7 linked regions of the Cricetulus griseus genome follow. The protein of the gene in region 3 interacts with the protein of the main gene of each other region in a biochemical or structural test. Links are inferred from orthologs where the notes say so. Each region holds a gene or a part of one and is shown on either strand. Other genes may lie near its edges. The genes, in order: Fyn, Casp6, microtubule-associated protein tau, Lck, Tuba1b, Mark1 and Mapk13.

Region 1 (3,500 bases), on a different chromosome or scaffold from region 3:
AGAAGGGAAAGGGGCAGCCACACATTTTATTCTTACGTATGCACTTTCTGAAATTAGCAAGGGCATTTTCGGAATCTCAGAATATGTATGCTAGTCCATTAGATTACAGTGCACAGAAACCAAAGCATTCTGCACCTGTGTGTATGGGGCACGCCCAGGGGACCATCTGAAATGTGCTCATCTACCTCCAGTGAATATGTTTGCTTAGCTTATGTTGGTCAGATCTTCTACAGCCTGTGCACACTGTTGTTACATGTTCTGCTCTTCTCTCCCTTGCCTCTGCCCTGCTCCTTCAGAGAGAGCCGCAGGTCTCTGCTGCCGCCTAGTAGTCCCCTGTCACAAAGGGATGCCAAGGCTTACCGATCTGTCTGTCAAAACCAAAGATGTCTGGGAAATCCCTCGAGAATCCCTACAGTTGATCAAGAGACTGGGAAATGGGCAGTTTGGGGAAGTATGGATGGGTATGCTGAAACTCAATTTCTCTTTCATTAGCTTCCCCGTTTGGGAAATCCCAAACGTCAAAGATGGAAGGTGACCATGAAAACGGACAGTTTGAATTGCTCAATTTTTATTTTTAAAAATTTGTAATTTCTCAAAAAGATAGACATGAACAAGAATGACAGATGGCTTGGGCTATGCTATAGCTGGTGGAAGGACTATTCCAGCCTGCATAGTGTCTTACCCTTCATTGCCAGCTGCAAATATTGGCTGAATCTTGCCCTTAGGGCAAGTCACCTTCCACCTTTCCTAGTGCATGCATGATTATGGATTATAAGGACTGTGTTTTCTTTATTAATTCCCTTTCCTGTAGAGAAAGCTGATGGTTTGTGTTTTAACTTAACTGTGATTTCATCAAGTTGTACCCCACAAACTTCTGGATTGTCTAAAGATGCTTGGGAAGTTGCACGTGACTCGTTGTTTCTGGAGAAGAAGCTGGGGCAGGGGTGTTTCGCTGAAGTGTGGCTTGGTAAGGCAGAGGGCACATTCTGTTTTGGCTGCATCTCAAAGCCGATGAAAAGGACAGTTGTGAACAGAAATGCATATGTGACCACTGAGACAAAGACCCTTGACCTGTGTGACTCGATGGGCATCGAGCCCAGGTTTGCAGAATGTGGTGGCACCTTGCTGTGTTCATCTGTCCTATTTCATGTGGCTCATAAGCACCTGCACACAGGAAGCCAGCACACTGCCAATGTGGGGCTTTCTCTTCCTGTGAGATGGGACGGTAAGATTCTGTGTGTGGGCAGCTATAGAGAAAGGTCATGGACTTCTGCATGGCAAGCCTGGCTCTAAACTCTTGCTGGATAATTAAGCATAAAAATGGGGCCTGTTTAACACCTCTGAGCCTCAGTTCCTCATCTGTAAAACCAGAGTCACTGGATTATTTTGAGGGTTATATAAGACATGTTTAAAATCTCTTGTAGATCTTAGATCCATGCATATCTTTCTTCATTTGGTTGTCAGTAATGCCGACTGCACTGGGCCCTTGAGATGGCATTTATAATCCTGTGGATCAGATGCACCTTGGCTTATAGACAATCCATAGACTTAGATCCCTCCCCAAAACATCTGCCCATGAAAGTGTACCGGAATCTCCCTTCCTTAGAGTCTAAAAGGATATAAAAAGGTACATCTGGTCTTCCGGGATGGCCCACAGCAAGAGAATTCATGGAATCAAAATGCTTGAAGCATAGCAGGTAGCATGCAGAAACATAAACAGATGCACACATGGATGATGGATCACACACACATGCATGTATGTATGTTAGCTGTCGTTCATTATGCATATTACAATAGTGAGTCCATATTAATGTGCCCATCCCTGTCTAGACTTTATCTCAAGTGTTATAAAATCTGCTTATATAACTTGTTTCTCATTATCTACCCAACTTATAATTGAAGTTGTAAGTCCCAAGGAATTTCTTCAGATCCTACAATCAGGAAGAATTGGACTCCATAAGAAATTTTATCTTCAAACAGTTGAAACTATCAACTTTAACTCATCATTACACAGAGCACCAAGGTGTTGTTTCCCATGGAACGGAAGAGTTGGGATAGAAGTCTAGACAGTTACCAAGCTGCTAAGAGAGGAAGGCTGCACAGTGCTTAAATGAGAAAACATTAACAGTTAAATCATGGAGGCTACTTAAATGTTGTCCAAGCTCCCATTTACACTGAGTGGCAGATATTTTCTGAGATAATTGAGCTCTTTACGCCACTTTCGTTGGTTTTTTTTTTTCCCCCTCTGTGGGATGTATGTTGTAACTATGTTTTAACAGAATAATAAAATGCTTTGATATACAGGCTCCTTGCTTAGATCTGAATGTCAGATTCCATATGAGTAAATCTTAGTTTGAACCTATATTCTCTTTCAAATTGTAAGCAATATAATCTAAATTAGCAGAGTTTTATTTTCCCTTTAAAAATTATCCTCCAAAGTCATCAGATAGAAATCAAGTAAGCCAGAATTTTGTCTTTTTTTTTTTAATTTGAGAACCAAAAGAGAATGAGAAGCTAGTCCATTGCTGTATTCTACAGATGAACTAACTGATAGTGGATGTAAACCAGGCCTCACCTTTGGGTTAGCTAGATTTTTAAAGAAGTATTTAAACATAGCACATTTAAATACTTCTCTTCTTGCCCCGCTGCTGTTTGGTTTTGCAGCTCACCTGCTAGAAGTCATTGTTCTTGTAGTGACTCCTCAGAGCCTGAGAGATTTCCTTTCCTGGGGAAGTATGGGCAGGGAGATGCTGTGTTCCTTACCTGTGCTTATGAGCACATACAGAATGACTGCTGAAGGACTCGGTCAAGTAACTCACCCAGGGCAGACAATGAAAATCTAGAACCAGTTTCCAAGCATCCTCCGTGTGTGGCCATGTTTTTACGAGGCACACCCTCTAAGATGGAATTTAATCTCATTTCTTCCAGTCTTTCCCTGTTATCTAAGGGACAGCTGTTGGATACCCAGGCCAACTCTAAATCCTAGACTTTCATCACTTAAATGAGAGCCCAAAGCTTTTTTAAATGTACATTCACAATTATATGGATGAGCTAAAAAAAAAAGAGTGATATATATCAAATGGGAAATCTTAGCGAATTATTAAACAACTATAGGTAAACTCAATTTTTTCTGTTGACATACATGACAGAGTCCTTTGCAGTTAATTGTTTTTGCTTGTAAAAAAAAATTTAAGATTTTTAAAACTTGAAGTCTGATTTTATGAAAATAGTTTCTGGGTTGACTTTCTGTTGTGGGACATTTGTAGGTACCTGGAATGGAAACACAAAAGTAGCCATAAAGACTCTTAAGCCAGGCACAATGTCTCCAGAGTCCTTCCTGGAGGAAGCACAGATCATGAAGAAGCTGAAGCATGACAAACTGGTGCAGCTCTACGCCGTGGTGTCTGAGGAGCCCATATACATCGTCACGGAGTACATGAATAAAGGTTGGACAGCGCTCTCCCCCTCCTCCTCCTCACGCTGCCTTGCAGCTTGCAGGG
Region 2 (2,762 bases), on a different chromosome or scaffold from region 3:
TTAAAAACACCCTATTGAGTAAAAGTTGGAGGAGCATGTGTTCTGTTGTCCTTTGAGGAAATGCTTTGCTTTTCCTATAGTGTGGTGTTGCTATTAGGTCTGTCACTAGTAGCCTGAGTGGTGTTGCATTCTGCTTCTGGTTTCTTCAAGGCTTCCATCAGGAGAGGAGGTTAGACTTGGTCAACATCTTTTTCTTCATTTCTCAAAGCAATGATGTACTTTGTCTTTGAGTCAATTTGCATATGATGAACCATCATTATAATCCTGCAGTTAAGCTAACTTGGTCATGGTATGTGTTTCTTTTCATCTGTTGTTGAATTCATCTTACAAGCATTTTACTGAGAATCTCTGTATCCATGGTCCTTCGGGATGTTGGTCTGTGATGTTTTTGTTGTATCATTAAGTAACTTGGATCTTAAAGGAGCCTCCCCATTTTTTCCTAAATCATTTTTCTGTACTTGATATTAACTTTTCAAGACAGGGTTTCTTTATGTAACAGCCCTAGCTGTCCTGGAACTCACTTTGTAGACAAGGCTGACCTCAAATCCACAGAGGTCCACCTGCCTTTGCCTCCCGAGTGCTGAGATTAAAGGCCTTCACCACCATGACTGGCTGAAGAGCTAATATCTTTAGTGAAATTGCTTCAAACTTTAATAATTAGTTTTTAAGCCAGCCATGGTAGGACACACACCTGTAATCCCAGCACCAGGAGTCTGGGGGTGGAGGATTACTGGATATTTAGGGCCAGCCTTCTTAGGCAAGAGTGTCTCAAACAACCAAGATTTAGAAAGAAAGTTTAGGGCCAGCCTGGCTATAGAATGAGGCCCAATCTTAAGAAAAAATAAGAAGAAAGGATAAAGATGTATTTTATTACAGGATGTTTGTATTTATTTTAAAAAGTACACCCTTTTCCTGCTATTTTGTAAGTGTATTTTTTTTAATGCCCATAACTTGAAGTTCTACATGTGGATAACATACTCTTATTTTCACCTCTGCATGCATTTTGCGGGGCATCTGTAGTGTCGACCTCAAGCCATATAGATGCTGATTGCTTCCTGTGTGTCTTCCTGAGCCACGGCGAAGGCAACCACATTTATGCATATGACGCCAAAATTGAAATTCAGACATTGACTGGCTTGTTCAAAGGAGACAAGTGTCAGAGCCTGGTTGGAAAACCCAAGATATTTATCATTCAGGTAAGACTGATCATATCATTATTTTAATTATAAAATTCAGTTGACTATAATGGTTAAAAAGTCAATCTCTAAGTTTCTCCAATAATTGGAAAGGTCCCTTTTGAATCCTGGTCTAATAGAGTTGTGTTTTCAGCTGTTAACATTTATTATAAGAGTATTTTGAGCCAGGAGGTATTGGCACACACCTTTAGTCCCAGTACTCGGGAGGCAGAGGCAGCTGGATCTCTGAATTTGTGGCCAGTCTGGTCTACAGAGTGAGTTCCAGGGCAGCCAGAGCTACACAGAGAAACCCTGTCTTGAAATACCAAAAACCAAACAAAAAAACTAAACCAAGTGATGATGGGGCACACATTTAATCCCAGCTCTCGGGAGGCAGAGGCAGGCAGATCTTTGTGAGTTCGATGCCACCCTGGTCTACAGAGCGAGTTCCAGGATAGTCAGAGCTACTACCAGTTAGACCCTGTCTAAAAGAGAAAAACAGGCAAGGCTGGGCTGGGTGTGGAGGACTTGCCACATGGAAAGGAAGACCTGATCACCCAGGACCGTGCAAAGGCAGCCTGGGCTTAGGTCTGTGGCAGCTGGAGTGCATGCAAGCCTGTGGAAGTGATACAGGGGTAAGCAGGCAACCCTCCCTTGCCTCATCCCTTTTTCACTTCCCCAAGCTCACTGCCAAGCTGCCAAATAGTTTCAGAAATAACAAGCAAACGTTTCGAGCATGAGAAAATATTTATTTGGTCCTGGAGATTTCAACAAGTAAATTTCAGGGTGGAGCAGAGTAGTTTAGCTTGTCACATTGAAGAGTGGGATTTAGCTGCATGGCAGACCACTTGCCTGGCAAACGTGAGGCTCTCAAACTAGAAAATAGGAGAATTTAATGCTAGCTTCTGACTCGAAATTAATAGTTATAAATTTAGAATTCACTTTAAAGTGGGGATAGGCAGAGAGGAGAGGGAGGGGGAGACAGACAGAGAGAGAATGCTCAGGGCTGGAGGAATGGCTCAGTTAGGATTAACTGTGTCTCCTGCTGTTCTTGCAAAGCCACTGAGTTTCCATCCCTGCTCCAGGGATCCCAGCACCCTCTTCTGAACCCTGGGGGCATCTGCACTCACTTTTGAACATTCACAAAGAAACTTAAATTAGTTCATTTGTTCATTCAAGACAGGGTTTCCCCATGCAGATATCCTGTGGCTATCCTGAACTCACTCTGGAGACCAGGCTGGCCTTGAACTCAGAGACCCACCTGCCTCTGCCTTCTGAGTGCTGGGGTTAAAGGTGAGTGCCACCACCTTAGATACTTAATTTTTAAACATCGAAAAGCATATTGTAAACAGAAGTTGAGGGCTTATGGATAGGTATCTTTTTGAGTCCGACAATGCTATTTCAACTATTGACAAATTATGACTGAAACTAGACCGAGAAAACACCCTTCAGAAATAATTACCTGATTGAATCAAAATGTTTAGGTAATCATGACAGTTTTTAAAAAGAAGGATATACTATCAGCATATCTTGGTTTACTGGGGGACAGGTTATAAACATTGTCTAAAAGGAAACGTTACCAGGGAA
Region 3 (3,500 bases):
TTTCCCTCACTGGAATGACCCCACTCGTGGTCTATATAGGAGACCCATGGGATTTGGAATTAGTTAGTGACCAGCTATCTAACCTATAAGACTAGTTCTGAGAGACTGGCTCCCAGGAGCCCCTTCTACTGGGGTGGCCTCCTCCAGGGTGTCCTCTCAGGAAGCAACTGCCATTCCCCAGAGCAGGCGTCGTTGCTGGGTCACATGAAGGACCTCTTGGGCAGGCAGGTCTCCCTGTGTGTCATGTCTACTCACTCATGCTTGCTGAGACACTAAACCTGTGGTTTCCACTGTGTGCCTGCATCCTTGTTGGTGTTGCTTTGCTTTTTCAGTAGAGGATGAAGTGTGCAGGAGACTGTGTGCCCAGACACCATGTGACTTTTACCCTGAGTCATAGCACTGTCCTGGGTCCTGTTTGCCAACTGGTGGTCAAGGACTGAGGGAGCTCCCTGGATGAAGCACTCCCATCTTGTCGACTCTTCTCTGAGTCCTTTCCAAGGAGATCATCTGGAGGCTGCATAGGCCGTCACTTCTTCCTCCACTGTGTGTGATGGGTCTTTCCTCAGTTAAGGATTTATGTTTATATGCTTAATATCTAAATAGAGATCATGATCACACACAGGGACTAGGCACCCTGCTTTTCCATGAGAGTCTCTTGGGTTTCTGGGATTGAATATGCTCAGGTCCCATAGTTACTTTGTGAGGACCTAGTTTCCTGGGGGACAGGGATTGGCTGGATTTGGGGAGCATATTTTCCTCCCTGGGTGGGGTATATCCAGTAGTTAATGGGAGCCACTGACAAGTGGTCCTTTGGGCTTTGCATTGTGTTACACCCCCTAGTAACATAACCCCCTTCGTTTTCTGTCTCATTCCCACCCCCTCTGACCTGCAGGTGCAAATAGTCTACAAGCCAGTGGACCTGAGCAAGGTGACCTCCAAGTGTGGCTCATTAGGCAACATCCATCACAAACCAGGTAGCCCTTGAGGAAGGAAGGCTTTGGGACAGGAAGGTGCTGGCTAGTCTGGCAGGTGCTTCCTGGAACAGGCTAACCTGAGCATTGAACATTAAATGTGAAGGTGCTGTGTGGCCTGGGAAATGTGACTGTCTCTGCTGGCTCCTGAGCAGGGTGTTTTCAGCCTAGACAAGGGGTGGAGAAAAAGGAGAAGCTGGTCCTAGATTCTATCTTGTGGCTCTCCAGCAAAGTCTGTAAAAGAGGACCAGCCATGGACTGATTGGGCCCCCAAAGGCAAGCTATATGGATGTCTCAGGCTTGTCCCAGCCAGCATGGGGGGACTTCATCAATGGCTATAATGTAAGATCTTTCTGGGCTGCTGTCCTACTCTCATGGTGACTGTTTAAACAAAGCACCCTTCCCAGGAAAGCAGTACAATTCACCTCCCCTCCTGCCACACCCTGGTGTGGTAACCCAAGTCAAAGGGAGAGGAGTAGGGTCTCTCCTCATTGTACATTTTTTTAAATTTATTTATTATGTATACAACATTCTGCTTCCATGTATATCTGCACACCAGAAGAGGGCACCAGATCTCATTATAGATGGTTGTGAGCCACCATGTGGTTGCTAGAATTGAACTAAGGACCTCTGGAAGAGCAGTTGGAGCTCTTAAACTCTGAGCCATCTCTCCAGCCCCTCATTGTACATTTAACATGCAGTACGATTCCAAGGTCTTGAGGGGCTGTGGCTTACAGGATGTTCATATGAAAATCTCCACCGCTGGAAGGCATCCAGTTTAGAACTCAGCATGTCTTCCGCTGGCCAAGCTTCCTGTATCTTTGAACCATTTCAGGAGGAAGATTTTGCAGAGTAAATACCTGATGAGCATCTCGATTAGAGATGGGGCAGGTGATTTGGCACCATTACAAGAGCTCCCTTGTGCCTAATTCTCCTTTTAGATATAGTAGAGCTCTGACAACTCCAAGAAGGTGGGCTGTTCTTGTGATCACTGGCCAGCCTCTGTTGGAGTCAGAATGGGCACATTAGTGAATGTTCCCCTCCAGAAGGGTGATACCTGACCTCTTTTTTTTATCAAGCCTTCAGAAGCCCCAGGCACTTTGCTCTGCAGTCTGTGACCTCATTTAATATATGCTAAGTCCCCCAGATCACAGATGACAAGAGGCTCTTGTGTGGGTTGTGTTCCAGGAGGTGGCCAAGTGGAAGTAAAATCTGAGAAGCTGGATTTCAAGGACAGAGTCCAGTCGAAGATTGGTTCCTTGGATAATATCACCCATGTCCCTGGAGGAGGGAATAAGAAGGTAAAGAGGGACAAATGGGGGGCACATGGGGATATGGGGGTTAATGGAGTGGACAAGGCTGGTCCTAGGGGGTCCCATATGGACTACCTAGAGGTAGATTCTCCCCCTCAGCTCAATGTACCAAGAACAAGGCACCAGACCAAAGGCAGATCTTTTCCACTAATTACTAGAAAGCTAGAGCAAAACAGTGACTCTGGCTGAGGCTGTGGCTCAGCTGGTAGAGTGCTTGCCCAACATGCACAGAGCCCAGGGTTCCATCGCCAGCACTGCATAGACTGGGCATTAAACTGCCATCCCAGATGGAGGTAGGAGGATCAGGAGTTCAAGACCACCCTCAGCTACATATTAAGTTTCAGGTTAGCTTGTGCTACATGAGATTCGCACCAAACAGACAGACGAAACCCAGGGTTCCTGCTGGGCAATGGTGGTGCACACCTTTAATCCCAGCAATTGAGAGGCAGAGGCAGGTGGATCTCTGTGAGTTCGAGACCAGCCTGGTCTACAAGAGCTAGTTCTAGGACAGCCTCCAAAGCCACAGAAAAACCCTGTCTCAAAAAACAAAACAAAACAAAAACAAAACAAAAAACAAAACCCAAAACAACACCACCACCACCAAAAAAACAGGGGTTCTGAAGAGAAGTGTTCACACTGGGGCTGCTGGGCCTCGAATTCCCAGCTGTGTCTGGTCTCCAGGCTGAGGAGAATATGTGCAGGGTATGGGAACACAGAGGTGCGTGGCTCTAAGCAAGCTCCTCTTGCACCTAACACAGGGTGTGACTGTAGGGTTTTTCCTCCAGCATAAACAACCTCCACACCTGCCTGGCCCCATATTGTGGAGGCAGCCTCCTCTGCAGGGTCCTCCCAGCAAATGACTGAACAGAGGGAATGGCCTGGAATCAGACCCAGCCTAGCACGAGAAAGGGTACTTACCCAAGGTGGCTCAGCTGTTTTTCTACTTGGCCTTGTTGGATGGCCCTTGGGATTCCCCTGCCTGGCGAGTCCCCACGGCACCCTGCTTTCTTCTGCAGCCATGTGTCTGCATCTGCTGCTTATATAAAGCCCCTGGTAGTACTATGAAGCATCCGTTGGACTGCTGAAGTGCCCAACACATGGCTGCCATTTCTGTCACACACCACTCAATTGAAATGCAAAGCCTCATACATACTGCTCCCATATGGGGTCTATTGGCCCCCGGGTGCCACAGGGAGTCAGTCACAGGCCTGGTTCC
Region 4 (4,114 bases), on a different chromosome or scaffold from region 3:
AAGACAGTGGACGACAACAGCGCCTTCAAGCGGCTAGACATAGCAGGGACACCCACCGTTCTCCATGTATTCTGTGATGATGTAGATGGGCTCCTGGGTGACCACTGCGTAAAGCCGGACCAGCCGCTGGTGCTGCAGCTGTTTCATGAGGTTAGCTTCCGCCAGGAAGGCATCGGGGGACATGCTCCCTTGCTTCAGGCTCTTCACTGCCACCTTCGTGTGCCCGTTGTAGTACCCTGGAGGTGGGTTGCGGGTGAGGGAGTTGCAGAGATCCCTGAACTAGTCGCTGCCCTGAAGAGGCCAGTGTCTCACATCTTGGTGACATCTCCTCCTCTCTTTCCAATCAGTTCTGACCTCCACACTCACCCATCCACACTTCCCCAAACTGGCCAGCTCCCAGGCGCTCAACCAACTTCAGTGTCTCCCTGGGAACCTCCCATTCATCCTCCCACCACGGCTTCTGGGGCTTCTGGGTCTGGCAAGGACGGCTCAACTTCGTGCACAGCCCATCAGAGGCATCTGCAATGACAGAGGAGAGGAGTAAGGCGGTCACTGCTGGAGACCTTGGGTGCTCCCTCCAGCCCCTACCTCTCTCCACGTTCGGCACAGGGGAAATAGGCCGGCATGGGAGGGGAGCCTGTCACCCAACGTTAGCCTGCAGGGTGGAGGGTCAGGTACTGCCGATGCTTGGAGGGTCCCTAGGAACGACTTGGGGGGAGATAGGCCGCTAGGGTGGGTACAGGTGAAAACGCTCTGCCATTGCTCACTGGTGTAATGGCGGACCAGCTCGTGCAGGCCGGGAAAAGTGATACGAGGGGAGATGTAGAAGCCACCGTTGTCTAGGTTGCGGATCTTGTAATGTTTCACCACTTCTCCCTGGTTCTGGTCGAAGTCTCTGACCGACAGTGAAAAAGATCCTGAAGAAAGATTGGAGACGGGAGGAAGGAAAAGAGGAGGAGGAGGAGGAAGAGGAGGAGGAGGAGGAGGAGGAGGAGGAGGAGGAGGAGGAGGAGGAGGAGGAGGAGGGAAGTTGAAGAGGAAAAAAAGAGAGGGAGAGAGAGGATTGCCTTCGGTAAATCAGGAGGCCACCACCCCCGCACACCTCCTCACCGGGAGGTGATGGCCCTCAACTCGAAGCCCCGCCCACAAGCAGAGGCCCCGCCCACAGGGTCCTGCCTCTTACCCGCGGTGCTTTCACTTTCCCGGATCAGGAAGGATCCGTGCGTGTTCCCAGGCGCCAAAAGCTGCCGCTCAGCGTCCTTACGGCTCAGATTCTTGAAGAACCAGCTACAAAGAGCAGAAGAAAGACCATTGGCTGTTGGTCGACTCTTTTTTTTTTTTTTTTTTTTTTAAATCTGCAGCCTTGGTTGACCTGGAACTCAAAGATCTGCCTGCCCCTGCCCCTGCCTCCAGAGTGCTGGGATTAAAGGCTTGCCTGGCTTGTTGGTCAATTATCCCTCCATCACTGGCAAACATCCCCCACCCCCAAGACCACGCCCTTCTTTGAGATCCCTAGATGTTCTCCTCCATTCCCACACGGTCCCGTGCTCACGGTTCAGGCTCCAGGCTGTTTGCCTTCGCCACGAAGTTGAAGGGGATGAAGCCTTCTTGGCCGGTGGTCAGGGACTGAGCCTTCCACCACTCACCGCTCCTGCGCCACAGAGAGACCATCAGCATGGCCTACGTAGGCCCTGGAAACCCTCAGAGTTCCCAGTTAGGCCAGGCCACCACTCCCTGGTATGATCATTCTAGTGCTTTCTACCTTATTCCAAAAGCCCTCACCTGAGGCCTGTCAGGGATGTAGGAGGGCTGAGGACGGACGGACAGACAGACAGACAGACAGACAGACAGACAGACACACACACACACACACACACACACACACACACACACACACACACACGGCAAGGTGGGTTAGAAGGATACTCACTGCTCCAGAATTCGGAGCTGTTCACCCTTCTCAAAGCCCAGATCTCCATCATGGGAGGGTTCATAGCTGTGCAGAGCGATAACTAGGTTGTCTGTAAAGACACGAAGAGTCAAGAAGCAGCAGCCCAGGGCTGACGGGAACAATGGAGTTCAAGGGGCACAGGGCAGGATGCAGACAAGGCTGAGGGTAGGTACAGAGGGTATGGACACCAACGGCCAACCATCCACAGGCTTCACACCCTGCTGGATGGAGTCACCTTGCAGCGGGGAGGCTGGTGGGATGGAGCCCTCATAGGTGACCAGTGGGTCCCGAACTTCAGAGCCATTCCGCATGGGCAGCTGTGGAGTAGGAAATGAGGCTTGGGTCATTTTTCTCTGACCCGGCTCCCCTCACCTCTGCTCTTTCCGTTTTTCCAGCCTTCTCTCTGGATTCACCAGCTCTGTGTGCACCTGACCTTAGGAAGGTCCGTTCTGCTCTCTGATGTCTTCCTTACTGTACTCCAGCGGACATGGGTTCTCTATTATTTCCAGTACCTTTCTCTGTGCAACAGCCCTGGCTGTCCTAGAACTCACTCTGTAGACCAGGCTGACCTTGAACTCATAGAGATATACCTGCCTCTGCCTCTCAGGTGCTGGGATTAAAGGCACACACCACCACCACCTGGCTATTTCCAGGACCTTTAGTTATGATTCATTTGCTTTGTTTTTTTTTTCCTCCTGGTCACACAGCCTCCCTTTACCCATTCCGTCTTCCTCTTACCGTGGTCTTGCTGTCCAGTGGAACTATGGGATAATGGCAGTTTTCACACACATCAATGTTCTCCATCCAGTCATCTTCAGGGTTTGAGCTGCAGCCACAGCCCATGATCCCTGAAAGAACGTAGAGAGGCCTGAAGGAGCTCCCCTAAGTCGGTTCCCCCAGCATCAGACATCCTAGAGTATTGCCCTGGAGTTTACAGAACTCCTGAGACTGTCTGCTCTGGGGCTCCCATTGGCCATATAGAAGAGCCAGAGCCAAAATGTGGGATTCTAGATCCTGATTTGGTTCACTCTGAGCCCTCAAGCAACAACTAAGTTCACAGGAGGCCCAGGCCCAAATCGAGTCCCCACCCTCCCACCTGGGGTGGGCAAACCGCCACAGGCACCTTTGTTAGTGTAGTTACCCACTTCCTGCCTCCTCAGGCCTGCTAGTTCCCTACTTTGGAGGGATTACCTGGGAGACATCACACACACTGGGCCAAGCCCCGGGGGAAACCTAAATTTTGATTTCACCCTCCTCCACCAAGGAGGATGCATGTCCCTATAATTTCAAGGCCGCTGCCTAGATACTGAAGCTGAGAGGCTCCTGTTCCTTGGAGTCAACCTTTGACCTCTGCCAGCCCCCAGCACCCCACCCCCACTCACAGCACAGGCTCCTTCAGACTGTTTCTGCTAACATGCTTTTGCTTCTCACCAGCAGAAGGAAACCCTTCAGTCGCTCTGCTGCCTGTAGCAGCTTTTGCTTGCCTGTCTGAGCTGTGGAAACTTTTGTCAAATGAAGTCAAGCAGAACCTCAAAGACGCAGCAAATGAAGTAGAGCTGTTCTAATCAAGTCAGAGTGGGGACTCCCCCTGAAGCCTCTGGAATCCCTGTCTGTGTACCTCCTTCCCTAAAGCTGTTACCACCTCGGAACTGCTTGGAGAGCATTGGTCCTCAGAGAATGATTTACTATGAGCAGGAGATTCAAATCTTTCTTTTTTTTTTAACGGTAAGTCTTACATATGTAGCCATGGCTGAGCTGCAGGCCTGCATCTCACCATGTAGACCAGTGCAGACAAGGCTGGCCTCGAACTTGCAGAGATACGCCTGCCTGTGAGTGCTAGGGATTAATCAAGGTGTACAATATCATGCTTTTGACCACTTTGATATTAAGGAAGACCTACTACATCTTTCAGTCTTTTTTGTTGTTGTTGTTCTGGAGACGGAGTTTCTCTGTGTTACAGCTCTTATTGTCCTGGAACCCACTCTGTTAGACCAGACTGGCCTCGGATTCACAGAGATCCACCTGTCTCTGCCTCCTGAGTGCTGGAATTAAAGGCATGTGCCACCATTGCCCAGCTCAGTCTTTTAATCTATAGTGACACACACACATACACACACACACACACACACACAGCCCCCCCCCCCCGTACCTAAATACTCACAT
Region 5 (4,234 bases), on a different chromosome or scaffold from region 3:
GTGTGGATACATTTTTTGTATGCTTTTGATACATGGTTTCAACGGACCTGGAGCTAGCCCAGAAAGGCCAGTCTGGCTAGCCACTGAGCTTCAGAGGTCTGCCAGTCTCTGCAGCATATAAGCACAAGCCACCATGAAAGTGCTCCCCCCCTTTTGGGTTCAGGGGAATCAAATTCAGGTCCTAATTGAGCTATTTCCTCAATCCACATTACCTCTTTTAAACAATGTAACTACAAAGCCCCCGAAATTACCTACATAGTTGCTGCTGAAGCACTTGGGGGCCTTGTCTTCTAACACTAGGCGCCTGGCTTCAAGTGTTTGCTCTTTCTCCTATTTAATTAACTGGCTGAGGCATTCCTTTACTAGGACTCTTGGAATTCTGCTTTCCTGCACTATGTGGAGAATCCTAGGGCACCTGACTAAGAGGCGCCTGAGGCTCTGAAAAGGGGAGTTTCAGGCTGCACAGCCGGCACAGGATCTGTGTTCCCTGCTGCCACTGCCAGGAGGACATTTTGAATAGCTGAGTGATTGCAATCTGTTCCGTGAGGGCGGTTTAAAGCCACGTGTTAGCCTTCATCACATTATGAATTTCTAAGGTCAGTAGTAGTTTATGGCCTTGGAATAAATGGGGAGGGTAGTTTATTGATTATAATCTGGTCATCACAGCACTCAGAAAATTTGTATAGCACAAGAATTCCTTGCTGTCTGTATTCTTCAGTGAGACATTTTCCTTCTAGTTTTCCCTCACTTCTTCGATTTAGCTTACCACTTCAAATGATTTTAAAAATCTTTTGAAAGAGCCCTTATTTAGGGCAATCCCATTAAATTGGCAGCTAGAGGCTGAAACTCTGGCCTAGTCCGCCCCTATTTTAACATTTGGATGATTCAAGTTGCTTCCAGTACTAGGTACCTTTAGTTTCGAGAATGAACCATGGCAATATACTAAGTATAGTGATAGGGTTTTATAAGGGGCTTTCACAGTAGCAGGTAAGCACAGCCTTTAAAGGAAGCAAGGAGAAAGGCAAAACTCACTCATCGAGTGTGGCCACATGAATGATCAGCTGAGTTATCCGGACCACACCTTTCAGCGCTTGAGGATGCCGCACTTTTAACACTGCGGGCCCCTCAAGTCCCCCGGTTCATCAAGACTGCGCCAGTCTGCCCAGGCTCCCACACCCTCTTGTCTGTCTGCGGCAGCGTCCACTCCCTCCCCGCAATGCAGCGGCGCGCCCCAGTCTGCAGCATCGGCGCACGCCCAGGCGGCTGCCCCGCCCCGTGGGCCCATGCAGGGAGGGGACTGCGAGCCGAGCCCGCCTCTGCGGCGGCCAGCCGGGCGCTCAATGGACCTGGCCGGCCGGGGGAGGGACCGTGGCCACCCGGCCGCGCCCGCCCCGCCCCAGCAACTACTTAAGAGGCTCTGGAGCCGACGCCTCCACCTCATTGCGTTACTTACCTCGACTCTTAGCTGTCGGGAACGGTAACCGTGACCCGCTGTCTGCTTTTGTCACCTTCGCCTTCTAACCCGTAGCTACCATGGTGAGTGCATCGGTGCAGGGAAGGGAGGCGAGGCGAGGGCTGCTCGCTGGGGCCTGGGGCTGAAGCGTGTGTGAGCAGGAGAGCAAGGGTCCCAGGCTGCTGGGGGCTGCCTGTATCTGAGGGAGAAGGGGCTCTCCAGGGTACCCCTGGAAGAGCGGGCGAGCATGGGGCCCCAGCTACTGGGGGTCGCCGGGGTCTGGGGGAGATGGGGTTGTCCCGGGTTCCCCTGGGTGAGCCGGGGAGCATGAGGCCCATGCTGAGGACCCATGAGCCCATCCCTGAGGACCTCCGGGATGTGGAGAAGGGGCTCTCCCGGGCCCCGCTGGACTTGGGTCTGCATCCGTCCACGCCCTGCACAAGGCATTTACAGCATGGCGCTTTCAGACTGCAGTCTTCCCGCGCGCGGGCCCTGCCCCCACCCTACCCTTGCGTTCTGCTTTTCGGGCGCGCGCACATAGCCTTTCCCCGCCCTCACTTCCTCTTCGGTGCGAAAAGGCGGGGGCGGGAAGACGCCAGGAGACAAAGACGCATGCGCGACCGTTACGTTCCCGCCTGAGAGCGGCGGGAAGAGCCTCTGCAGTGTGCGCGTGCGCGCTGCGGCACTGCGGGCTTAATTCGTTTAGGGTGTGTCTCCTGTATTTGGGGGGGACGGTGGGGCAAACCCTGGCCCTCGAATACTAAGCCCCCTCTCTACCTCAGCCTCGATTTTCCTTTTGCTTTTAATGAAAGCAATAAGAAATGTGGGGCAGGTCTCGGACTATATTCCACAATACTTAGCAATAACAGCGTGAAGTCTCAGCTGTCTCGAGTTAGGAATTTGTGTGGGACCAGGTGGTGACATTGAAGGGTTTGAGGGTAACAGAAATCGGATCTGAGCGGCTTATGATTCCCTGCTGGACCAGGACGGATGCGGGGGGAGCTGAGCTCAGCGCCTACAAATAGAGGAAGTGGCAAACCAGCTGCATCCCGGGCGCCTCGGTGCATGCACAAATAAATGCTCCATTATCTCATTCCGTAGAGCCCTGCCACCAGAACCTTCCTCATTGCTTAAGTCACATGCTTCCTCTGCCTACAGTTGTCCGGAAGTCTGGGCACAAAGCAAAAGTAGAACTCTGAGGGCACAGGGTAAATGAAAAGCCTTCGTATCTTGGTTTTCAAAAAAGGAAGTGTGACTAAGCACTTCTAGGTGTGGAAAGGCTGAAATTAGCTTTTTTTTTTTTTTTAATAAATGCTTGCGAGTTTTAACGATTTGTCACTTTGTGCCATGGTTAGAATTCCAGCTGCTTGCGGCATTACTAATAGTTTTTTTTTCCCCTTCTTTCTGTCCCACAGCGTGAGTGCATCTCCATCCACGTTGGCCAGGCTGGTGTCCAGATCGGCAATGCCTGCTGGGAGCTCTACTGCCTGGAACATGGCATCCAGCCTGACGGCCAGATGCCAAGTGACAAGACCATCGGGGGAGGAGATGACTCCTTCAACACCTTCTTCAGTGAGACAGGCGCTGGCAAGCATGTGCCCCGGGCCGTGTTCGTAGACCTGGAACCCACAGTCATCGGTAAGTGGGCCAGGGGCTTCCCTGAGGCATTCTGTCCTGGTCACATACTCAGAACCTCTCCACACACCGCCGAAGAGTGAGTGAGCTTGTGTGTGTCAGTTACTGTTGTGAATGGTTGATTTCATCTCCTTTTCCAGATGAAGTTCGCACTGGTACCTACCGCCAGCTCTTCCACCCTGAGCAGCTCATCACAGGCAAGGAAGATGCTGCCAATAACTATGCCCGTGGCCACTACACCATCGGCAAGGAGATCATTGATCTTGTCTTGGACAGAATTCGCAAGCTGGTAAATACCATAGATGGATGGATTCATTTAAAATGCAGTGTGGGGGAGTGTTGGGACCTGCCAAAATAAGTAAAGTCTGTTCACTACTGATAAACAATGCCTTTTCTTTTTTTCCTACAGGCTGACCAGTGCACAGGTCTTCAGGGCTTCTTGGTTTTCCACAGCTTTGGTGGGGGAACTGGCTCTGGGTTCACCTCCCTGCTGATGGAGCGGCTCTCTGTCGATTATGGAAAGAAGTCCAAGCTGGAGTTCTCCATCTACCCAGCCCCCCAGGTTTCCACTGCTGTGGTTGAGCCCTACAACTCCATCCTCACCACCCACACCACCCTGGAGCACTCTGATTGTGCCTTCATGGTAGACAACGAGGCCATCTATGACATCTGTCGTAGAAACCTCGACATTGAGCGCCCCACCTACACTAACCTTAACCGCCTCATTAGCCAGATTGTGTCTTCCATCACTGCTTCCCTCAGATTTGATGGAGCCCTGAATGTTGACCTGACAGAATTCCAGACCAACCTGGTACCCTACCCTCGCATCCATTTCCCTCTGGCCACATATGCCCCTGTCATCTCTGCTGAGAAAGCCTACCATGAGCAGCTTTCTGTAGCAGAGATCACCAATGCCTGCTTTGAGCCAGCCAATCAGATGGTGAAATGTGACCCTCGCCATGGTAAATACATGGCTTGCTGCCTGCTGTACCGTGGGGATGTGGTTCCCAAAGATGTCAATGCTGCCATTGCCACCATCAAGACCAAGCGCAGCATCCAGTTTGTGGACTGGTGTCCCACTGGCTTCAAGGTTGGCATTAATTACCAGCCTCCCACTGTGGTACCTGGTGGAGACCTGGCTAAGGT
Region 6 (4,268 bases), on a different chromosome or scaffold from region 3:
TATTAATTCAAGTTAGGGAACAGGCTTGTTTCACATGTAATTCTTTACCGACTTGCCAGAGTCTTGTGCCTTCCTTGCCTTTAACTGGCTTAGTGTGGTCAGTTGTGCAGGAATTCATGTCTGTGACTAGAAACCATCTGGATGCTGTAGTAGGAATTTTGGTTTTGCCTTTGGACAACTGAATTTTCAAGATGTGAGCCTTGGACAAAGAAGCCCAGTTTTTGCCTCTGTGTTTTCATCTGTGCCTTCCTTTCATGAACTCACCAAGCACACCTGACTGGATGGAGGTTTTGTTCCCATTTCACTGCCTGAAAGTTCTTGCACTGTTTCTGTTCCTTATCATATTCCAGATGGAGCAGACAGCCACCTATTCTGGGCATCCTACCTAAGGAAGCCCTTGCTGCACCCTCCCTCCCTTGTTTCATTTTCAGACAGTAGTACTATTTATAATTACTTTGTTTTCCCTATTTTCTCATTCTTACCTGTTTCACTTCATCTTTGGGGGAATTTTTTTTCAGCTACTTACAGACTTAAAATATCCTTTCTACTTGAGCTAGCCAGAATGGTTTCAGTTGCTCACAGAAAAGAAAGGTGAGTTTTAGGAGCTGGTTGCAGGCACCAGATAATCCGGCATTAGGGTTGGTCACTTCGGGTATAAGGTAGACTGTTTTTGTCCCTTTGTTTGTATCATTTCCACTAGTGAACACAGTGCTCATCATGCACTGTCCTAAGGACCTTCATATGAATCCACAGAATGTCCTCAGATAGTCCTGACGTAAAGAGCCTCGTTAGTATTAGCTCCACTCCCCAGTTAAGAACACAGACGCCCAACAATTAAGTGTTTCCATGGATAAGCAGCTCTCTTCCTCTCTCTCTCTCTCTCTCTCTCTCTCTCTCTCTCTCTCTCTCTCTCTCTCTCTCAGACACAGTAAGTTGTGTGAGGAGGTGGGGCAGGAATTGATTAGGGGTATATTTGGAACAGGCAGCTGGTTTGGCAGTTGTTTTTATATGCCTGGCCAATATAAGGAAGAGTGGAGAGTGACTGGCCCAAGCTCCTGGTTAGTTTAGAACCCACCCTCTTAACCTGTGGGTCATGACATTCAGGGTTACATACAAAATGTGAAGTTCCCAGGATTGACCACAGGGAAACGTTTCTGAGTGTGCATGCTCTATTCAGGGAGTGGTCTGCGGTAACTGCACTTTTGGTTTCAAATAAGTGAGTTTATTAACAAGAGTAAAAGAGCAGATAATAAAACATCTAGTTGGGCGCTTAGCAGATCTGGCAAAAATGGCTGGAGTAGTCCAACTGCAAGGACAAGGGAGAGGGAGAGAGCCGGAAGCAAGCAGCAGACCCAACATCATCAGATTAGGTGTTCACAGCTTCCAACAGACAGGGCTGAGGAAGCCCGGTTGAGGCAGCAAGCTGGGGTTTTTGCCTGAGAGGCCCAGGCAGAGCAGAGTTGTTGCCCTCTGGTGAGGGTGAGGCTTCCATGTAGAACAACAAATAACCAGCAGCAGGTAGACGGCAAAGCATCTTAAGTCAAACATGTACAAGCTCCTGCAGAAATGACTGGGAAACCCCACTGAACAGTCATGCTGGAGTTTCCGACTGGATGTCTATGGATGAACTGTGGCTTCGTGTTGTCACCACAGGTATTTTATACCATGGGATGATCGGTACTGACCTCCGAAGGGCGTGGTTCACCTTCGAGCTGTTCTCAAGGGCAGACACAGTGTGGTTTTGTTTTCAAGAGTTTATTCTTACATATTGTGTATATGTGTGTGTGTCTCTGTGTGTCTGTGTGTCTGTGTCTGTGTGTGTCTATGTGGGGGTTTGGGCATGCAAGTACAGTACTTGTGGAAGACAAAAGTAGCTGGAGCTAGAGTTAGAGGCAGTTATGAGCCCCTGGGTGAGGGTCTTGGGAACCAAACCTGGGCCCTTTTCAAAAGCAGTAAATGCTCTCCAGCCTGTGCATAGCACTTCTAATTCCTTAGCTGTTTACAATTCTCCTCCCTCCCTATAACAGGGCCAGGGAGCCAACTGCCCAGGACAATGAGTCTCAGAGGACTCTTGAGAGAACAGGCTTGAATCCCAGACATTGGAGCCCACCTTGGTCCTAGAATCCACTGCCATCAAGTACAAACACACGTGATGGTTTACCAATAGTTTATATTGTAGTGTAATGCCCAAGTATTAGTTTACAGTCAAACATGTAATGAATCCAAGGTGTCTTTGGCAGCATTCATACATATATTTCACAATGTGTGACTTCACTGAAGCTCTGGTTTTGAACACACAACACCCACATGTTGTACTGTGCACATCGTCACTTCACACAGTGCCAAAAAGTGCTGCCTGAAACACTGACTTAGAGTTGAGACTTTTGTATGTTAAGGATGAGTGTTTTACTGTGTACATGAACTTTTCTTACCTTACAGAAAATGGTTTAATTATGGGAAATAAAGACTTGAACGTTTTTCCTAACACCATTTCTCAGCACATATGCACACAGGTGCATCTTTGTAATGTCCTGGGTTACAGTGAGCATTAGCTACTCTCCTCACTGCTCTGACAGATGTCTGACAGGAAGCCACACGGGAGAGAAGGGTGTGTTCTGGCTCACAGTTCAAGGGAATACAACCTATCATGGCAGGAAAGCATGTTAGCAAAAGCATGAGGCAGTGGTCATCACTGCATCCACAACCACTCAGGGAGCAGAGCAATGCATGCCAGTGCCCAGCTCTCTTCCTTCTTTTTATTTAGTTCAGGTGGATTTTCCCACCCTTATGAATCTCATTCAGGTAATTCCTCAAAGGTATGCCAAGAGGCTTGTCTCCCACATCCTGTCAAATGAATTCCCACACCACATAAAGCACTGCTGTGGCCTCAGCATTCGGGAAGTGGAGGCAGGAGGTCATTTTTACCCCTCATGATGTGATGCCAGACTAGTGTACATGAGAAAAGGGAAGCGGTAGTAAGAAATAAAAGGAGCCAGGCATGCCTGTAGCCAGCTTCTAGCAGGCATGGCTTACACTGTCCCCTACAAAGTGGGGAGGGGGAGATAGAGAGACAGAGACAGAGAGAGAGAGGCGGGGAGGGGCAAGGTCAAGCCGTAGAAAAGAGCATGCAGCCCTGGATCAGAGGAACAACCGTATTTGTGAGAATTTTTGTCGTGGTAGTAAGGATGCTGCCCTTCTAGCGAGGTGGTAACCATGGACGATGTCACTCAACCTAAAATGGTATAGTGCTCTGTGTGCTAACCAGCAATCCGTCTACCTATTGATTTTGAAAATCAAAATACAGACTTAAAGATGTGTAGAGAATTTTACTTTAAGTGTTGTACCCACTGGTAAGGGCCCTTAAGTTGGGAAGCAATGATAAAGTGTGTTCACATTTTAAAATAGTGTACTTTCATTAAAGATGAACTGTTAGTGAGCATTATTTGTAGTCTTTTAATAGTCCTTTTATAATAATCAAAGTGATCATGACCTCTTGTGCTTTTCCCTAGCATACATGTGTGGATGGATATACTGAGGCACACATCCAGCCTACCAAATCAAGTAGCAGACAGAACATTCCCCGGTGTAGAAACTCCATTACGTCAGCACCAGATGAACAGCCTCACATCGGAAATTACCGCTTACAGAAAACAATAGGGAAGGGAAACTTTGCCAAAGTGAAATTGGCAAGACATGTTCTAACAGGCAGAGAGGTAAGTTTCCATGCCTTTTGATATTTGCCTGTACCTTGCTCCAGAGTCTTGGTTGATGTTGGGGAATGAATGGCACCTGTGCCTGGTGCATACTGGAATTTATGCACACAGAACATTTGCAGCCAGGTCGGTTTCATGGCAGATCTCCTCACCATTTAACACCAAGGAAAGACTTGCCTCTACTTTATAGCATCTCATAGACCAGGCGTGCTGCAGATTAGCTGAAGCTTATCTCTTATGTGAACACGCCTGGTTACTGTTGCTACTCTGCATTTCTATGAGTCACTACCTAGATTAAGTTAGATGTAAATGTGTAGAAAACCACTCACTAAGTTTTATCTGGTTGGAGATAACATCAAGCTACTACTATACAGATAATTTTTCAGACGACAAGAGAATTTACTTCTGAAATACCATTTGTTTGTTTAGTGAGGGTTGTCAAGACAGGGTCTCTTGTAGTCCAGACTGGCTTTGAACTTGCTGCCCAGCTGAGGCTGACCTTGAAATGTGGGTCTTCCTGCTTCACTTTCTAAATGCTGGGATTGTTGGCTTGCA
Region 7 (3,032 bases), on a different chromosome or scaffold from region 3:
GGTGATAGCTGAAGCCCGGGGACAGGTCATGGCAAAATGGGACACAATGATGTTGATCCTGAGTCCATGTTTACTAGAAGGTGAGCAGATGGAAACTGGTGAGGCAGTTGACACTTAGCAAAAGGACACATGGGGGGGGAAGGAGTCTGTTCTCCGGATGGTCACTGGTGACCTTGATCCCAGCCGTTTAGGACAGAAGCCTTCTGCATGACAAGGTTGTCAGAGACAGTGTGTGAAGGCAGTGGAGAAAGGGGATGGGGAAAACTATTTCTCCAAGGTTGGAGAATGAAGAAAGGCTAAAAGATTTATTTTATTTAAAATTGTGTGTGAAAGAGAGAGCGAGCATGAGTGTAGGTGCCCTGAAATTACAGGCAGTTGTGAGTTGCCTTATGAGGGTGCTAGATCTCGAACTTGGGTCCTCTAGGAAAAGCAGCCAGTGCTCTTTTCTTTTCTTTTTTTTTCCCTTCAGTTTCCCTTCCCTACACGGTTTCTCTGTAGCTTTGGAGCCTGTCCTGGACCTTGCTCTGTAGACCAGGCTGGTCTTGAACTCACTGAGATCCACTTGCCCCTGCCTGCCGAGTGCTGGGGTTAAAGGTGTGCTCCACCACTGCCTAGCTGAGGCAAGTGCTCTTAACTGCTGAGTGACCCCTCCAGCCCTCAGCAATAGCATACAGAAGCAAAGAAGCAGGCAAGGAGATATACATACACACGCAACCCTGGCAGTCAGGAGGCAGGTGGAGCCCTGTGAGTTTTCAGCCAGCCTTTTCTACATATTCAGTTGCAGGGCAGACAGGCCTACATGGTGAGACCCCGTCTCAAAATCAAAGAAACGGTGTGTGAGTGTGTGTGTGTGTGTGTGTGTGTGTGTGTGTGTGTGTGTGTGTGTGTGTGTTCATTCACTTTAGGGGACTGGGGTGTAGCTCAGTGGGTAGAGTACTTGCCTAGCATGAACAGCCCTGGCTCCACCCCTAACTCTGAATAAACTGGGGATGGTGGTGTATGCCAGTGATGCCAGCATTGGAGAGACAAAGGCAGGAGGGTGGAAAATTCAAGACTATCCTCAACCTCGTAGTGAACTAGAGACAAGTCTGGGATACTCATCCTGTCTCAAGAGGGAAGGAAAGAAATATATATTATGGTGTGTGTGTTAATCTGTTGCTTTTTGTTTGTCCTGCACTTTGCCGTTACCACCTTGAGTCACAGTTCCGGGTTGTTGACATTGACCTGTTTCAAAATCCCACTTGAGTGCTTTAATAGCACAGGCCCCTTCTTCCTCTGCCTGCTGAAGATTGCTTCCTGCTGCCTTCCTGGAAAGACATATTTTGTAGTTAGTGGAGCCTGCTGGGCTGGGCGTGACCCTCCTGTGGGAGAAACTTTTGGATGGAAGCAGAAGCAAATGCTGGCAGATACTGCTGGCTCACAGCTGGTCTGTTTGGGGAGCCGGGCGTGGAGGAGGGCAGTGCCAGGGTACCTTTGAGGAGTGTGAACACAGCCATCTGGTTTTACTGAGTATGCTTCAATGCTGGTGCTCACCCTGAGCTCCGCCAACCAGGATGCTGTGGCAGGGGTGCCGGGTAAATCCTGGCTGTGTTCGTGTGTGTGGAGCCTCATGTGTGTATGCAAGTATGCCTGTATTTATGTGTGTGTGCATCTGGTCAGAGGTCAGAGTAGTATTGTTCCTCAAGCGCTATCTACCTTGTTTTCTTTTTTCCTTATGGTAGTTTGCAGGTGTGTGTGTGTGTGTGTGTGTGTGTTCTCGTGCGTGCGCTCCTGCATGAGTTTATGTGCACCATATGCTTTCAGGTGCCCACAGGGTCCAGAAGAGGGTATCAGATCTTCTGAACTGGACTTCCAGGTGGCTGTGAGCCTCCTGATGTGGGTGCTGGGAACTGAACCTGAGTCCCCTGCAAGAACAGGACGTGCTCTTTACTGCTGAGCCATCTCTTCAGTCCCTCTCCTTGTCTTGTGAGGCAGGGTCTCTCACTGGTTTGTCAATTAAGCCAAGCTGGCAGGCTAATGAGCCCCGGGGATCCTCCTGTCTCCACCTTCCCACACTGGGATTACAACCGAACCCCATCACACCCAGTTTTTGTACGTGGGTGCTGCAGCTTGAACTCGGGTCCTCGTGTAAGCGAACACTGTGTCAGCTGAAGCATCTCTCCAGCCCTGTTTTGTGTTGTCATCGTTGTTTTTCTGAGACAAGGTCATGTTGTGTAGACCAGCCTACCTGGGCCTCAGCATGTAACGCAGGCTGAACGTTAACATGTGCAAATCCTCCCACTTAAGCTCTGCAAGGGTTGCGATTACAGGCATGACCCATCACACCTGACTCTTCTTACGCCTTCTTGCCTGGTGTTGTGCCCACTTCTGCCCCTCTGGAGTCACACCCGGGCCTGTGGGAGGCTGGGCCTGTGGGAGGCTGGGCCTGTGGGAGGCTGGGGACTGTGCTAAAAGCCGCCTCCTTCCAGCTACCTGGTGATGCCCTTCATGCAGACTGATCTGCAGAAGATCATGGGGATGGAATTCAGCGAAGATAAGGTCCAGTACTTGGTGTACCAAGTGCTCAAAGGGTTAAAGGTGAGTGTGGCCTGCATGGTGGCCAAGGGCTGCTCAGTGCTGAGACTCAGCCCCTTGGTGGGAAAGAGGAGGATTTGAGGATGCTGGCATGGAAGCTGGTGCCCCGATTCATCTCTCTCTCTCTCTCTCTCTCTCTCTCTCTCTCTCTCTCCCTCTCTCAGTACATTCACTCAGCTGGTGTCGTCCACAGGGTGAGTACTTCCTCTATCGTAGTTCTCAGGGACCCTGGAGTCCTTCCACAGTGTGTGGGGTAGGAACTGGGTGGCTGGCCAGTCAATTGGGAGCAGTACAGTGACAGTTCTCAGGGACATGGACTGAGGATGTCTCAGCCTTGAGAAGGTGATGTAGTAGAATGGGGGGGTAGGAGAGACACTTTGGGGAGTTGCTGCCACTGAGCGCTGTGCTGGCACTTTAGTCTCTCAGGACAGGCACATGGTGGAAGAGGATGTAGAGTC

The links.
Region 1: of the proteins of microtubule-associated protein tau (region 3) and Fyn, one has a biochemical effect on the other in vitro, tested with the Homo sapiens proteins (10 studies listed by BioGRID and IntAct, with this or other methods). The link is inferred for Cricetulus griseus from reciprocal best matches to the Homo sapiens genes MAPT and FYN.
Region 2: of the proteins of microtubule-associated protein tau (region 3) and Casp6, one has a biochemical effect on the other in vitro, tested with the Homo sapiens proteins (2 studies listed by BioGRID). The link is inferred for Cricetulus griseus from reciprocal best matches to the Homo sapiens genes MAPT and CASP6.
Region 4: the proteins of microtubule-associated protein tau (region 3) and Lck form a complex in vitro, tested with the Homo sapiens proteins (2 studies listed by BioGRID, with this or other methods). The link is inferred for Cricetulus griseus from reciprocal best matches to the Homo sapiens genes MAPT and LCK.
Region 5: the proteins of microtubule-associated protein tau (region 3) and Tuba1b form a complex in vitro, tested with the Homo sapiens proteins (2 studies listed by BioGRID). The link is inferred for Cricetulus griseus from reciprocal best matches to the Homo sapiens genes MAPT and TUBA1B.
Region 6: of the proteins of microtubule-associated protein tau (region 3) and Mark1, one has a biochemical effect on the other in vitro, tested with the Homo sapiens proteins (4 studies listed by BioGRID). The link is inferred for Cricetulus griseus from reciprocal best matches to the Homo sapiens genes MAPT and MARK1.
Region 7: of the proteins of microtubule-associated protein tau (region 3) and Mapk13, one has a biochemical effect on the other in vitro, tested with the Homo sapiens proteins (2 studies listed by BioGRID). The link is inferred for Cricetulus griseus from reciprocal best matches to the Homo sapiens genes MAPT and MAPK13.

The regions. Positions count from the first base shown.
Region 1 is NC_048595.1:262,034,638-262,038,137, forward strand, and holds part of Fyn (tyrosine-protein kinase Fyn), read left to right. Parts: intron 1-296; coding exon 297-461; intron 462-811; coding exon of another isoform or gene 812-967; intron 968-3,266; coding exon 3,267-3,446; intron 3,447-3,500. UniProt on the Homo sapiens protein: Non-receptor tyrosine-protein kinase that plays a role in many biological processes including regulation of cell growth and survival, cell adhesion, integrin-mediated signaling, cytoskeletal remodeling, cell motility, immune response and axon guidance.
Region 2 is NW_023276806.1:28,997,363-29,000,124, reverse strand, and holds part of Casp6 (caspase-6), read left to right. Parts: intron 1-1,020; coding exon 1,021-1,196; intron 1,197-2,762.
Region 3 is NC_048600.1:117,356,253-117,359,752, forward strand, and holds part of microtubule-associated protein tau, read left to right. Parts: intron 1-892; coding exon 893-974; intron 975-2,159; coding exon 2,160-2,272; intron 2,273-3,500. UniProt on the Homo sapiens protein: Promotes microtubule assembly and stability, and might be involved in the establishment and maintenance of neuronal polarity.
Region 4 is NC_048595.1:23,478,236-23,482,349, reverse strand, and holds the start of Lck (tyrosine-protein kinase Lck), read right to left. Parts: upstream 2,801-4,114; 5' UTR 2,795-2,800; coding exon 2,690-2,794; intron 2,269-2,689; coding exon 2,187-2,268; intron 2,022-2,186; coding exon 1,931-2,021; intron 1,652-1,930; coding exon 1,553-1,651; intron 1,288-1,552; coding exon 1,184-1,287; intron 918-1,183; coding exon 768-917; intron 520-767; coding exon 367-519; intron 237-366; coding exon 57-236; intron 1-56. UniProt on the Homo sapiens protein: Non-receptor tyrosine-protein kinase that plays an essential role in the selection and maturation of developing T-cells in the thymus and in the function of mature T-cells. Plays a key role in T-cell antigen receptor (TCR)-linked signal transduction pathways.
Region 5 is NC_048595.1:395,400,751-395,404,984, reverse strand, and holds the start of Tuba1b (tubulin alpha-1B chain), read left to right. Parts: upstream 1-1,434; 5' UTR 1,435-1,533; coding exon 1,534-1,536; intron 1,537-2,868; coding exon 2,869-3,091; intron 3,092-3,228; coding exon 3,229-3,377; intron 3,378-3,497; coding exon 3,498-4,234. UniProt on the Homo sapiens protein: Tubulin is the major constituent of microtubules, protein filaments consisting of alpha- and beta-tubulin heterodimers. Microtubules grow by the addition of GTP-tubulin dimers to the microtubule end, where a stabilizing cap forms.
Region 6 is NC_048598.1:9,725,744-9,730,011, forward strand, and holds the start of Mark1 (serine/threonine-protein kinase MARK1), read left to right. Parts: upstream 1-1,468; 5' UTR 1,469-1,593; coding exon 1,594-1,653; intron 1,654-3,509; coding exon 3,510-3,713; intron 3,714-4,268. UniProt on the Homo sapiens protein: Serine/threonine-protein kinase. Involved in cell polarity and microtubule dynamics regulation. Phosphorylates DCX, MAP2 and MAP4. Phosphorylates the microtubule-associated protein MAPT/TAU.
Region 7 is NW_023276806.1:233,879,500-233,882,531, forward strand, and holds part of Mapk13 (mitogen-activated protein kinase 13), read left to right. Parts: intron 1-2,468; coding exon 2,469-2,577; intron 2,578-2,738; coding exon 2,739-2,768; intron 2,769-3,032. UniProt on the Homo sapiens protein: Serine/threonine kinase which acts as an essential component of the MAP kinase signal transduction pathway.